Linked DNA regions of Sus scrofa. The protein of the gene in region 3 binds, or shares a complex with, the protein of the main gene of each other region. Links are inferred from orthologs where the notes say so. Each region holds a gene or a part of one and is shown on either strand. Other genes may lie near its edges.

The links.
Region 1: the proteins of NTSR1 (region 3) and ARRB1 are in contact, whole or in part, in a cryo-EM structure (PDB 6UP7), measured with the Homo sapiens proteins. The link is inferred for Sus scrofa from reciprocal best matches to the Homo sapiens genes NTSR1 and ARRB1. Residues at the interface, in NP_002522.2 of Homo sapiens: Ser93, Leu94, Gln95, Ser96, Leu97, Gln98, Thr100, Val101, Arg166, Ile170, Pro173, Lys177, Phe286, Ser287, Met288, Ala289, Ile290, Ala297, Leu298, Gly301, Ser368, Asn370; in NP_004032.2 of Homo sapiens: Tyr63, Arg65, Asp67, Leu68, Val70, Leu71, Gly72, Leu73, Thr74, Phe75, Arg76, Lys77, Asn245, Thr246, Ala247, Gln248, Tyr249, Lys250, Lys284, Arg285, Gly286.
Region 2: the proteins of NTSR1 (region 3) and NTS are in contact, whole or in part, in a crystal structure (PDB 4BUO), measured with the Rattus norvegicus proteins. The link is inferred for Sus scrofa from reciprocal best matches to the Homo sapiens genes NTSR1 and NTS. Residues at the interface, in NP_001102437.1 of Rattus norvegicus: Ser53, Asp54, Leu55, Asp56, Asn58, Phe128, His132, His133, Tyr146, Met208, Val224, Cys225, Thr226, Pro227, Ile238, Arg327, Arg328, Phe331, Cys332, Tyr333, Ile334, Ser335, Asp336, Trp339, Phe344, Tyr347, His348, Tyr351; in NP_001095851.1 of Rattus norvegicus: Arg157, Arg158, Pro159, Tyr160, Ile161, Leu162.

What each region holds. Positions count from the first base shown.
Region 1 is NC_010451.4:9,540,139-9,543,781, reverse strand, and holds part of ARRB1 (beta-arrestin-1), read left to right. Parts: intron 1-2,150; coding exon 2,151-2,195; intron 2,196-2,951; coding exon 2,952-3,148; intron 3,149-3,643. UniProt on the Homo sapiens protein: Functions in regulating agonist-mediated G-protein coupled receptor (GPCR) signaling by mediating both receptor desensitization and resensitization processes.
Region 2 is NC_010447.5:96,270,012-96,274,261, forward strand, and holds the start of NTS (neurotensin/neuromedin N), read right to left. Parts: upstream 2,937-4,250; 5' UTR 2,736-2,936; coding exon 2,660-2,735; intron 461-2,659; coding exon 399-460; intron 1-398. UniProt on the Homo sapiens protein: Neurotensin may play an endocrine or paracrine role in the regulation of fat metabolism. It causes contraction of smooth muscle.
Region 3 is NC_010459.5:62,031,056-62,034,698, reverse strand, and holds part of NTSR1 (neurotensin receptor type 1), read right to left. Parts: intron 3,629-3,643; coding exon 3,538-3,628; intron 2,402-3,537; coding exon 2,152-2,401; 3' UTR 1-2,151. UniProt on the Homo sapiens protein: G-protein coupled receptor for the tridecapeptide neurotensin (NTS). Signaling is effected via G proteins that activate a phosphatidylinositol-calcium second messenger system.

The DNA.
Region 1 (3,643 bases), on a different chromosome or scaffold from region 3:
TGGGATGTGTCGCCCGGGGGAAAATTCCCAGCAAGCTTGTCATCACATCCCTGGGGGCCGTGCTGGGGCCAAGAGGAGTGGCGTGTGGTCCCAGAGCCCCCCGGGCAGGGGAGGGGGCAGAGAGAGCAGAGTGACAGGCTTTGGCTCCGGGGAGGAAGGCCTTTGTGACCTTGGGGCAGGAGACCCGGGGAGTCCCTGGGGTCCTTGAACAGGCTGCGGGCTCCAGAGTCCTCCAGGCCCCTCTCTTCATGGCCTGGAGCAGGGGGACCCCGCTTTTCCTCTCCAGCCCTAGCAGGTGTCCTCTGAAGCTCACTGCTCCCTCTGCCTGATGCCCCCTTCTCCCTGAACTTGGAGGCAGGAGGCAGGACTCTGTGTTTGCCTGTGGCGGCTCCAAGGCGGGGCTGCCTGCAGGCGGTCTGAAGCCGGGGCCTTTGAGGGTCGTGGTGGGGGCGCAGGGGCCAGGGGAGGGGCAGGAGCAGGAGGGCTCTGGCTCCCCCAATGCACACAGGCACCCTGAGAACGGCTTGACAAGTGTCCACAGGGCACCCGTTTCATGCCAGGCCCTGTGGATCGCAGAGCACGCCAGAGCTGATCAAATGACCCGCAGAGAGAACTTTCTCCCTTACAGCACTGAGCTGGTTAGTTCTTCCCGATGCTTAACTATCCCCCTGGCTGCCCTTCAAACTTGGGGGCAAGTCCAAGCCCCAGCCTCACACACCGGACGTTTAAGGTCTGGGCCAGGCCCTCCTTCCTCCGCCAGCCTCCGGGATCAGCTCTCCAAGCCTCAGAGCAAGGCTCTTGTCGCTGCCACCATGGGCTGGCTGTCCCTTGGTCATCTAACTGATGACCGTTACGCCCTGGCTCCAGCTTCCCTCCCCCAGGGAGCTTCCGGGGGACCCCTTGTTAGGGGAGTGCCCTTGTCAGGGTCCCCCTCCTGGGGTTCCGCTCAGTCCCTGGCGCCCAGGCACAGAGGAAACCCCCCAGGAAAGGAGGGAAGGGGCCCGGCAGGCTCTGGACATGGGGTGGGCGTGCCCTTGACCAGCTGTGCCCTGGACCTGCCCAGCACTGGGGGTGGGGGGGGTGGTGACCAGGAGCTCGCAGGGCCCTCCCTTCCTAATGTGGCCTCTGAGCTTCTCTGAGCGGCTGGCTGTGGGCCAGTGTGGGATGGGGGTGGTGGTGGGTTAGATGGGGGATGACAGGCGAGGGAGTGCCCCCAAACCAGTCTTTCTGGTCTCCTGGGGTTCTGGGCAGAGAAAACATCCTTTGTCTTCAGCTGGATTCTGCCTTCCCAAGGCCAGGCCTTGGGACATTCTCCATGGGGTCACCTGTGCCAGGCACTCTCCCACCCTCTGCACACATTAATTCACGTGGTCCTCACAGGAGCCCTGTGAGGTACGTAGCCCAGAATCAGAAGCCTGATCCCTACATCCCGCATCCAGAATCTTAGAGCGCTGCAACTTGCTCATAGGCTTGATACAGGATTTCACTAGCGGCAAACCTGACCTGAACCGAGGGGAGGCCATTCATGCCTTCGCCTCTCGGTGAACAGATGCCCGTGTCGCTGCAGGGGTGTTAAGGGGTTTGGCACAGAGCCTGCCGAGGACCTTAGAGAATCTGTGGAAGGTGTGGCCGTGGCCTTTCCGCTTGATATTGGGGTTTGGGAGCCAGCATAGTATCTCCCAGATGAAGAAACAGAAGTTATATAACCTTAGAGTTCCCATCATGGCGCGGTGGAAACGAATCCGACTAGGAACCCTGAGGTTGCCGGTTCGATCCCTGGCCTCACTCAGTGGGTTAAGGATCCGGCGTTGCCGTGAGCTGTGGTGTAGGTCGCAGATGCAGCTCGGATCCCGGGCTGCTGTGGCTCTGTGGACCCTTAGGCCTGGGAACCTCCATATGCTGCAGGTACAGCCCTAAAAAGCCAAAAAAAAAAAAAAAAAAAAAGGCAAGTTAAACAACCTGTTGGGTCTGTGAGGCTGGCCTCGGTGGGGGTGGGGGGCATAGTGGACTCGTCTCCTGGGAGCTGCTGGCCTCCGCCTCTTTTTCATGATGCTTTTGGACAGACAGATGGGTGGGTTTGAATTTAACTTGGTCTTTGGGGCTCAGAAGTTTGAGAGGTCAAGTCTGCTCACTCTCTGTTTTTCCTGCAGATGGCGTGGTCCTGGTGGATCCTGAGTATCTCAAGGAGAGGAGAGGTGAGCTGTCCCCCCGCCAGCCTGTCAGGGGGCCTCTCCTCCCCCAGAACCCCCAGTCCCAAGGCCTCCCTGACTCCCAGACAGAACGCTGGCAGGAGGAGAGGCAGCAAGCCGGTCCCTGTCCCTCCCCACTGGCTCTTCCTTTGACAGCTCTAACCAGCGTCAGAGCAGGTGCTCTGGCCTCGTCTGGCTGGGCGGCCGTGGCCACGCCCCCTTTGGGAGACCCTCTTAATGCCCTTGGCATCCACCCACCCATCCATCATGCTGTCGGGAGGCTGGGAATGCAAACAGGGTAGGAGTTAGGCCCTCACTCACTGTCCAGAAGAGAAGACTGATTCCTGGGGGGGGCGAAGGGATGGTCCGAGGTCAGCAGGAAGGCGGGAGGCAGGGGTTGGGCGGGGCAAGCCCTCATGACTTCGGGACACCACCCAGGCTTGTTTTCCCCCGACTCCACTCCCCTGTGCTCCTTCCCGGCCCCTGTGAACCCGTCAGAGCCCCTTCGCCCCCGTGCCCTGGGCTGCTGGGTTGGGAGGGGTGGGGAAAGCTGAACGGACCCAGCAGTCAGCCCCCGCCTCGTCCCAGGGGCCAGGCCCCTGACGGCCCCCCCCCCTCCCTGTCCCAAGGGCAGCGCGCCCTTCCCCGGGGAGGCGCCCAGGGACAGATCCATGCCTCTGGTGGAGCCAGTCCCAGGGCTGGGGCGCGTGTTGGCTGCTCCCCGGCCCCCCGGCCCCTCCTCAGTGTCCCCTGCCCCCGCAGTCTACGTGACGCTGACCTGCGCCTTCCGATACGGCCGGGAGGACCTGGATGTCCTGGGCCTGACCTTTCGCAAGGACCTGTTTGTGGCCAACGTGCAGTCCTTCCCGCCGGCCCCCGAGGACAAGAAGCCCCTGACGCGGCTGCAGGAGCGCCTCATCAAGAAGCTGGGCGAGCACGCCTACCCTTTCACCTTTGAGGTCAGGGACTGCCAGCCCCCCGGGGGCCCCATTCCAGAAGCCTCACCTCTAGCAAGCCCCCTGGGTGGCCCCCCCTCCCAGGGGGCAAACTGGGGCAGCTGCTCCGTGCCACCCAGTCCCCCAGCGTTCGCTGGCCAGGGCGCTGGCACTTAACACCGCCTGGTGAGTGTCTCTTCTCTGGGCACTGCCAGGGGGCGTCACCTTTAACCCCTGGGCTGATCCCCAGACCCTCCTGAGTCCAGGTCATTGGTGGGGGGAAGAGGGGGATGGGCCGTCTCCTCCCTCAGACCTGCTGCCCACGAGCCGGCCCCCACCCAGCTCACAAATGAGGAGGGCGAGATTTCCCTGCTCGGCTCCCTTTCCACTCCAAGAATCTGGAGTTTCAAGTTTCCTGTTTCTCAGACTCTGATTCTTCGATCAGTGAAATCTCCCAGCTTTCTGTGGGGGTCAGAGACAGAAAGAGCCACCCTCTCGTGGTTTCCTGTGGCTGCTGTA
Region 2 (4,250 bases), on a different chromosome or scaffold from region 3:
AGAAACTCCGTTTCACTTTTCCCAATATTACAAAAAAGGCAAAAATGGTACTTAGTTTCTGTTTACATATTAACGTGAGGCCAATGGACATCATCATACACAATGTGATTGGAATGGAAAGCGGGTTTTTAGAAACAAATTTGCAGGCCCATGTAAATAATATATGATGACCTAATTAAAATTTCATTATAATGATTTGCAATCCCTATAATTTCTTTCTCTGTCACATCAACACCCTTAATCCTTTAAATTTAAGGAAAAGTTTCCCAAAAAGGGACCGCCTCCCAATAAACTCTTCAGTCTCACTGGGAAATTATTGCTATAGGAAAAGGACACTGTGTTTATAAGGAGAGTGAATATGTTTTCCAGTCCTTGGTTTAAAAAAAAGAAAAAGTTACCTTTGATGTATGCATATTGGTCAATAAATCTGCTTCTAACGCTTTCATTTCCTCTTCTGAATCTGAGTAAAATCAAAACCACATGTTACTATATAATCATACATCATATAATTGTAGCAGAGATTTAAGATGAATCTCAAAAATTTTGTTTTAGAAATTTATTGTCTCTCCTCTGTATTTATTCTCCCTAAAACAGTATTCACAGAACAACAATTACAGTTTTATTTTAGGCTATTAGGATAATAAAAACACTTTTAAGAAAACAAGCACGTGATTTTATGCCAAGAGAGCTACTGATGATTTGGAATTGTTTAATCTCTAAATGTCAGTGTAAAAAAAATTGATTATATTATATAATAGAGATTTCATCAATATGCTGGTTAAGTTTTACTAGCAATAGTTTACATATATAGAATATATGCATATTGATTTTTTAAAACAACATAAAGAAAAGGTATGTACAAGACACTTTTCAAGACGAGACCAAAGGGAATAGCATGTTGATAATTTTAGAATAGGAAAGACTCTGCAATATATTTAATTTCAGATGCTGTTTTACAAACACACTTAGAAAGATTTGTTTTTATACACTAAACAAGAATTTAGAATTATGTGCTCTTAGCAATTTTATCACAGGCTATCAAGGAAATTGCTCAAGCACAAGTGGAGCTGTCCATCAATACATGTGCAATAATGTTGAAAATGGATTTCTGATTTTTTTAAAATAACCTTCCCAGTCTCCTCTAATGGATATTTTACAGGGGAGAAAATTTTAGAAAATACCATAAGGTAATAGAAATAAAGTTCTAGAACCTGACAAGATGAACTAGCTCATACTCATTGAGCTATATATATATCATAAAACAAAGCAGAAATTAAAATGATTCTGTATTTCTTGCAAAAGAGAAGTGGCACATTTGTTAAATTGTACCAGGAACTAAATTATACCAGAGATCTTTTTCTCCTATTTTGTAGAGGTCCAATCTGTTTTTCAAGAAGAAAGATTAATTCCTTTAGCCATTTGTCAAAAATGTATGCCCAAAATCTTCACACATTTTAGCTTATCACACCAAGAAATTTCCAGAGTTAATAAACACTGTACTTAATCAATTACATTTTTCTCACATACTCTAAGTATACCTTTAAACTCATGTAACTATTAGGTAAAATCATTGTGGGAAAGTTGATATTTTTCTCATAAAAACATTTGCAAGTTAGAAGTTCAAGATCTTTTTCTAATGATAAAAAGAAACTTAAAATGTTAAGTAACATTTATATTAATTTAAATAAAATCAGGAATTTGAATGAAATATTTCAGTGTCACATTTATAAGATACAACAATATAAAGCAGGTTAAGTGATTTTTGCTGCCCTTCTGTTTTTTTTTTTTCATTTTGATGTGATCATTCAGTTATTTTTCAAACATTAATTGGAGCACATTGCAATCATTAAAATATTTCATGTTACTCTTTTAAATTTAAATCTTATTTTCAAAGTCAGCTATTGATAAATATTTAGCAATGTATGGTTTCTTCTTAATTATCACAGGCAAAATACTCTGCAGGGAAATAATTTTTCTTAATATAAGAATGACAATTTTCCAGTTACATCCTGAATCAACTTAAATAACATGCAAAAAAACAGTTAATAGTATGCCTATCTGTCACATAGAAAAGTGACATTAAATGTATTTGTAAAAGAGCTTGGTTTTTTTTAATATTTTTCTAGAAATAAATTTCCACAAATAATGCTTTATTCATTTGTTCATCAAACATCAATTTTTACTGTATCTTAATACACATACAACTAAGACAATAATTTGTGGGAGAGAGAAGCCACTTCATCCTAAGAGAATGAATGAGGACAAGATCAAACATCCCAAATGGAATCAGTTTTAATTACAGGTTTTCACTTTCTCACATTTCCTTCTTTGGGTAGTGGCCAGCCTGACTCAAGTTTTACATATTTTGGTTTTCTCTAGTGGTTACACTGCAAAGGGGGCCATGACGTGTTTCACCAAAATCCCTTTTATTATCTCTCAGATTTAAAAATGAAAAAGAGATCTTTCAGTTCTTGCGATCATAAGGACAAAGCAAGAAAATACCTAGTTTCTGCCACTCAAAAGCCAATCCAGAATAAGGGAGAGACTCTTCTCCCTGAATGCATTAATGTAAGTAGCAACACACTGCAAAACAACAACAACAACAATAACCATTAAAAGAAATCCCTTCAGGGAGTTGTGAAATGCAGAAGGAGCTTACCTGAGCACAGAGTCCAGGAGCTGAAAGCCAGCAGTATCACACACACCAGCTGGATTTTCATTCCTGCCATCATCATCTTGAGCCTTCTAGCAAGCCAAGTCCATAAACGTCAGAGACAAGCTGAAGGGACTCTCTCGCGCTTCCTCCAGCCTCCAGCTGACTTTGGAAGTGACTGAACTATGAGAGATGCTTTGACCCTTCCCTATATATATATGCCGGGGATGATGTCACGAGCATCTCTTCAGGATGTGCCCTTCATCTTCATCCTCCCTCTGCTCCCCACTTCCTCCTCCCCTTTCCTTTGTCCCCCCGCCCCTCTCTCCCACTCCTGAACCTCCAGTGAAAGTAACATCGTCCCTAATTGCTACTGCTGCTCCGGATTTCTGACACACAGAAGGAGTCATTCAAAAGCAATTCTATATAGAGCCTACGGGAAAAGAACTTCCAGCACCCTGCTTTCCCCATTTCCTCTCATTCCCTGACTCTAAATTGTCATTTTGATTTTGTGAAGCATGAGACCTGTTATTTCTAATATAAGCAAAACCTCCAGGATGAATGCCTGAAATCAGTAATCCTTTATGTTTAGAAGTTCTTACAGAGAATTCTTTTCTGGTAATTCGCACTTTTGAACAAGGGGTTTGTGGTTTGGGGACTAATACAAGTCTTAGTACATGCTAGAAGAGAACCAGTTATAATACTGAGTTAAGCAAAATACTTTAGAGAAAAGAGAAAATCAGTTTTAAGAAAAGAGAGTAGTAGCTCTAAGGAATAGGGTATTTTTTCCTAAAAATCAAAAAGTCTTTAAGTAACTGGAAGGATGACGGAAGTGTATATGCTGACTTATGGTTGAATGTCTTAGAAAAGTAATTTGATGTTTACAAAACCCAGCTCTAAACTATTTATGTGTTAGCAGGTGGAAATATGCAGCACTGCATCACCGATTGCTATTTTCTGATACTTTCCTCTTTTTCTGTCGGCGTTGACCTGCTCCTTTTGGATTCAGTCTTGACGCCATGCCTTATTCAGTCTGTAATCCCTCTCTCACTGGTTTTCACCATTGCATCAGATCTCTTCCTCTGCGAGAGTCATAAAAAATGAGACCATACTCTGGAAAGGAAATAGTCCTAGATAACCGCTCTCCACCAGGCACGTTTCTAAGAGCATCTTCACACATTTTGCCGGTTACAATGACACCCATTCCCTCTCCTGGTTATAGGAAGAAAATTTCTCAGATTGTCTTTTGGAGTGAAGTTTTCTTCTTGCTTTAAGTATTTCAGGATACATGGTGTGATCTTAAAAGGTGGTGCTGTTAGAAATGTGAATATTTGAAGGTAAATGGTGTCTGAGACTTTCTCACTTCTTAAGCACATCAATCATACAGTAACAATCAAGAAAAGAAGTCTGGATCGACTTCTACAGAGAGTTGATTTAAATTATATTGTATATGTCTATGGAATTGATTTCTCCATTTTACCCTATACCAAAGAAGATGAATAATAATTTTAAATAGTAAGGAGTCATTCCTGTAATTTAATGTTTAGGAATTTAACAATGGATTTTTTTTACTATTTTTAGTTTGTTTTACAGACTT
Region 3 (3,643 bases):
ATGTCCCCCGGCTGGATCCACCACGGACACTGCTGCGTCGAGATGGGGCGGGGGAAGGAGGGGGCCGTGACGCCTCTCCTGCTGGTGGGAGATTCCAGACAGGGCCGCTGGGTGGGAGGACAGGCTGACGGCCCTCCCTGGCCCGGCTCCCCACCTGTTGGCCTCCGGGGCCCTTCAGCTCCTTGGGCTGGTGGGAGGGGACGCCCCAGAGTCACAGGACCCTGGTCCCCACCTTCACTGGGCCTTGCCCGTGCCTAGGCCACAGATCAGGACCCTGAGCCCTGGGACCCCGAGTCCTGCACCAGCTGCTTCTCAAAGCTCAGGGGGGCAGGGCCTGAGCTGGCGCATCCTGCCCGGTCCCCGGGAAACGGGGCAGAGCGCATGCGTGTTGGCAAAGGGGCCGGGAGAGGGCTGTCTGCTGAGTGACGGCTGCACGCGGCCCGTGGCCTCCTGGGGAGCCGGGTCCAGTCGCCTTTATTCCTTTACTGAGTGTCGCTGCGGGACGTGTGCGCCGCTGGGGTCAGTGTACATCACGGGGTTTCGGCATCACTGCTGACCAGCCACACGGGCGCTGGACCCTGAGACCAGACACACACGGCACACAGAGCCGGCCTCTGGGGTTCCAGGGAGATGCAGCCAGAGCTGGGGAGGCTTGGGGGGGTCCGGCAGGGCGTAGACATGGGTCCCCACTGATGTGAAGTGGGCCGACAGGAGGGTCTGGGTGGCGGGCATCTCGCCCCACGTCCACTCTGCCCCCACCTCCGGGGCCGCCACGTCCAGGCCTGGCTGAGTGGGTGTAGTGACCACGCCTACATCTCGGGCGCCTGGGGAAACCGAGGCGCGTGGGAATCGCACTGTGCCCGGGGTCCAGGGATGGCAGGGCGGTCCTGAGGGCCAGGGCTGGCTGACCTCAGCCTCTCCGCTGGGCTCCTGCTCTCCCACCCAGAGCCGAAGCTCATGGGGAGCTCTGAGTGACCTCAGCCCCGTGCTGCAGCCACGGGGTCAGGGTCAGACTGCCTGCCCCGTTCTTGGTGAACAGCCTGGAGGAGGACTTTGGGGATGCAAGTCACATAGTGTTCACATCAGGGCCCAGATCCGAAGTGACCATGGACCACGGATGCTGTAGCATCCTGGGTGGGGGACTGAGTCCTGGCCGACCCCAGACTAGGCCCAGGTCATCGCCATCCACGCAGGTCCTCTGCCCGTCTGCCCGCCTGTCTCCCTTCTGGCGGGCTTGCCCCAGGCCCAGGGAGGACCTGCTTAAAAGGTCTGCGTCTCACTTCTGGCTCCGGCCACGCAGTGTCGCAGCTGGTCTGGGGCAGCTCCCCAGGGACCTGCCTTCCCGGGGCCATCCTGTCTGGAGACCAGCCCCCAGAGTTCAAGGGGGCATCTGCCCTTCTGGGTGCCCAGAGTGCCTCCTTCTCGCCTGCAGCCCAGGCCCCACAGCTGGCATCTCTCGTGACTCCCCTCTACTGCAGGGCATCCACTGCAGCGGCAGGAGCTCAGCCGGACAGGGGGAGTGAGAGCACGTGGGATGTCACTGGTCTGGCCACCGGGACCCCGCTGACCTGGCCTTGTGTCCGCAGAGCCGGGATGGAGGGCTTCTCGGCCGAACGGCCCTGCAGTGGCATCTGTGCAGAGCCTGGCTGCCTTGGCCTGGGGAGGAGTGGCGGGGAGGGGGCGGCCCGGGGCCGGGCTGACCCCTCACTGTCCTCTTGCCACATCAAAGCTTCCTAGGACCTGCCCTGGCAGAGCTGGAGAGCGGCCCACGGGGTCCTGAGTGCCTGGAGGCGCGACGGAGGCCCTCTGGTGCCAGGACAGCAGGGTCCTGCCGGCTGGCCTCCACCCAGCGCCGGCTCCCAGGGTCGCCCCCTCCTGACGGCTGCCCGGCTGCCCAGGGCCCGGCCCGACCTGCTGCTTTCAGTCCTTTTCTGTCTAAACATCCATTAGTCTGAGAACAAAGACGACTGCCTTTCACCTGACACTGAGTTCTCCCCATTAAGGCCCTTTTCGGTCTGGGAGGCTCGAGCTGTCTCTGGCTTTCAAAGGGGAGAGCGAGGCGGGCGCAGGGGAGGTGAGGGGGGGGAGAGAGGAGCAGCTCCCAGGACGGCTGGAGGCCAGCGGCAGCCCCTCTCTGAGTGCCCCCCCACCCTAGTACAGCGTTTCCCGGGTGACGTTGCTGGAGAAGGTGTGGTTGCTGGACACGCTGTTGGTCTTCCTGGAGAGGGCTGGCCTCTTCCTCCGGCGCCCCCACAGGGGACAGAGGCAGGCCAGGGTGGCCAGGAAGGCCTGGCGGAAGCTGGCGGAGACGAGGTTGTAGAGCACCGGGTTGATGGCGGAGCTGACGTAGAAGAGCGCGTTGCTGAGCATGTAGAAGTAGTGGTAGAAGTCGAAGAGGAACCTGCGCGGGCGGGACGGGGCGCTCAGCCGCGGCGGCGGGGTGGCGGCGGCTCGGAGCCCCGGCCACAGGCGACGTGGCCTTTTTGGACCCGGGGCTCCGGCTTCCCTGGAGAAGGGGGACGCTCAGCCCACACTCCCGCCTGGCCCGGGTCGGCGGAGCGGAGCTGCGGCCGCCCTCCCTCCAAGGGCCGCAGGCCTCGGCCAGAGCTTGGCCTGGATGGGGCAGCCAAGGCAGGGACCCCCTCCACACCCCCCAGACAGCTGTGCCCCTCATCCACAGCTTGTTTGCCTTCGTGCCCCAGGACGTCGCTCCTTCCCCAGGCAGCCCTGAGTTTCAGGACCCCTCCCCCTTTTAGGGTCGCACCTGTGGCATATGGAGGTTCCCAGGCTAAGGGTCTAATCAGAGCTACAGCTGCCAGCCTACACCACAGCCACAGCCACGCCAGATCTGAGCCACATCTGGGACCTACAGCACGGCTCGCGGTAACACCGGATCCTTAACCCACTGAGGAAGGCCAGGGACGGAGCCCGCATCCTCATGGATGCTAGCTGGGCTGGTTTCTGCTGAGCCATAGCGGGAGCTCCCAGAAACCATTTTGGGTTGTTCTCCCGCCTGTGACATCTCCTTATATCCATCCTGGACCTGCCCTCCCCAACACTCCCCGCTGCTAGGAAGGTCCCTCAGCCCTTGGACCCGGTGGCCTGCACGCAGAGCTGCTCACATAGCCGGGCTCAGGCTGCCACTGCAGGGCGCCCACGGGCCGGGGCCGTGTCCATACATGGCACGGCCTCACTGTCACGCATCGGCACGCGTGTGTGTGACGCTCTCGAGCCCCGGGGGTCCTTCCGGCAATTCCTACAGGCGGGGGTGGTCCAGGGGCCCCGACAGCTGCCAGCCCTCCCCCCACACCCAGCCCTCACTGTCCCCCTCCAGACGGCCCCCTACCTGCCTGTGTGGATCCTCCTCGGACCTGCTTTCCTGGTGCAGCCTCCGGGGGTGTCTGACCCTCTCTGGCCTCGCCCCTGCCTCCCGTCGCAGGCTCGCCCGAGGGCCACCGGATGCGCCCCCACCCCCCACCCCCGCCGGTGCCGGGGAGCATGGCGCGGCTCGAGCCCCCACCCGGGCTCCATACTCACGGGGTCCACTGCTCGTCGGAAATGTAGCAGAACATGAGGCGCCGCGCGTGGTAGGGCAGCCAGCAGACCACGAAGGCGATGACCACGGCACCTGCAACACGGGGGA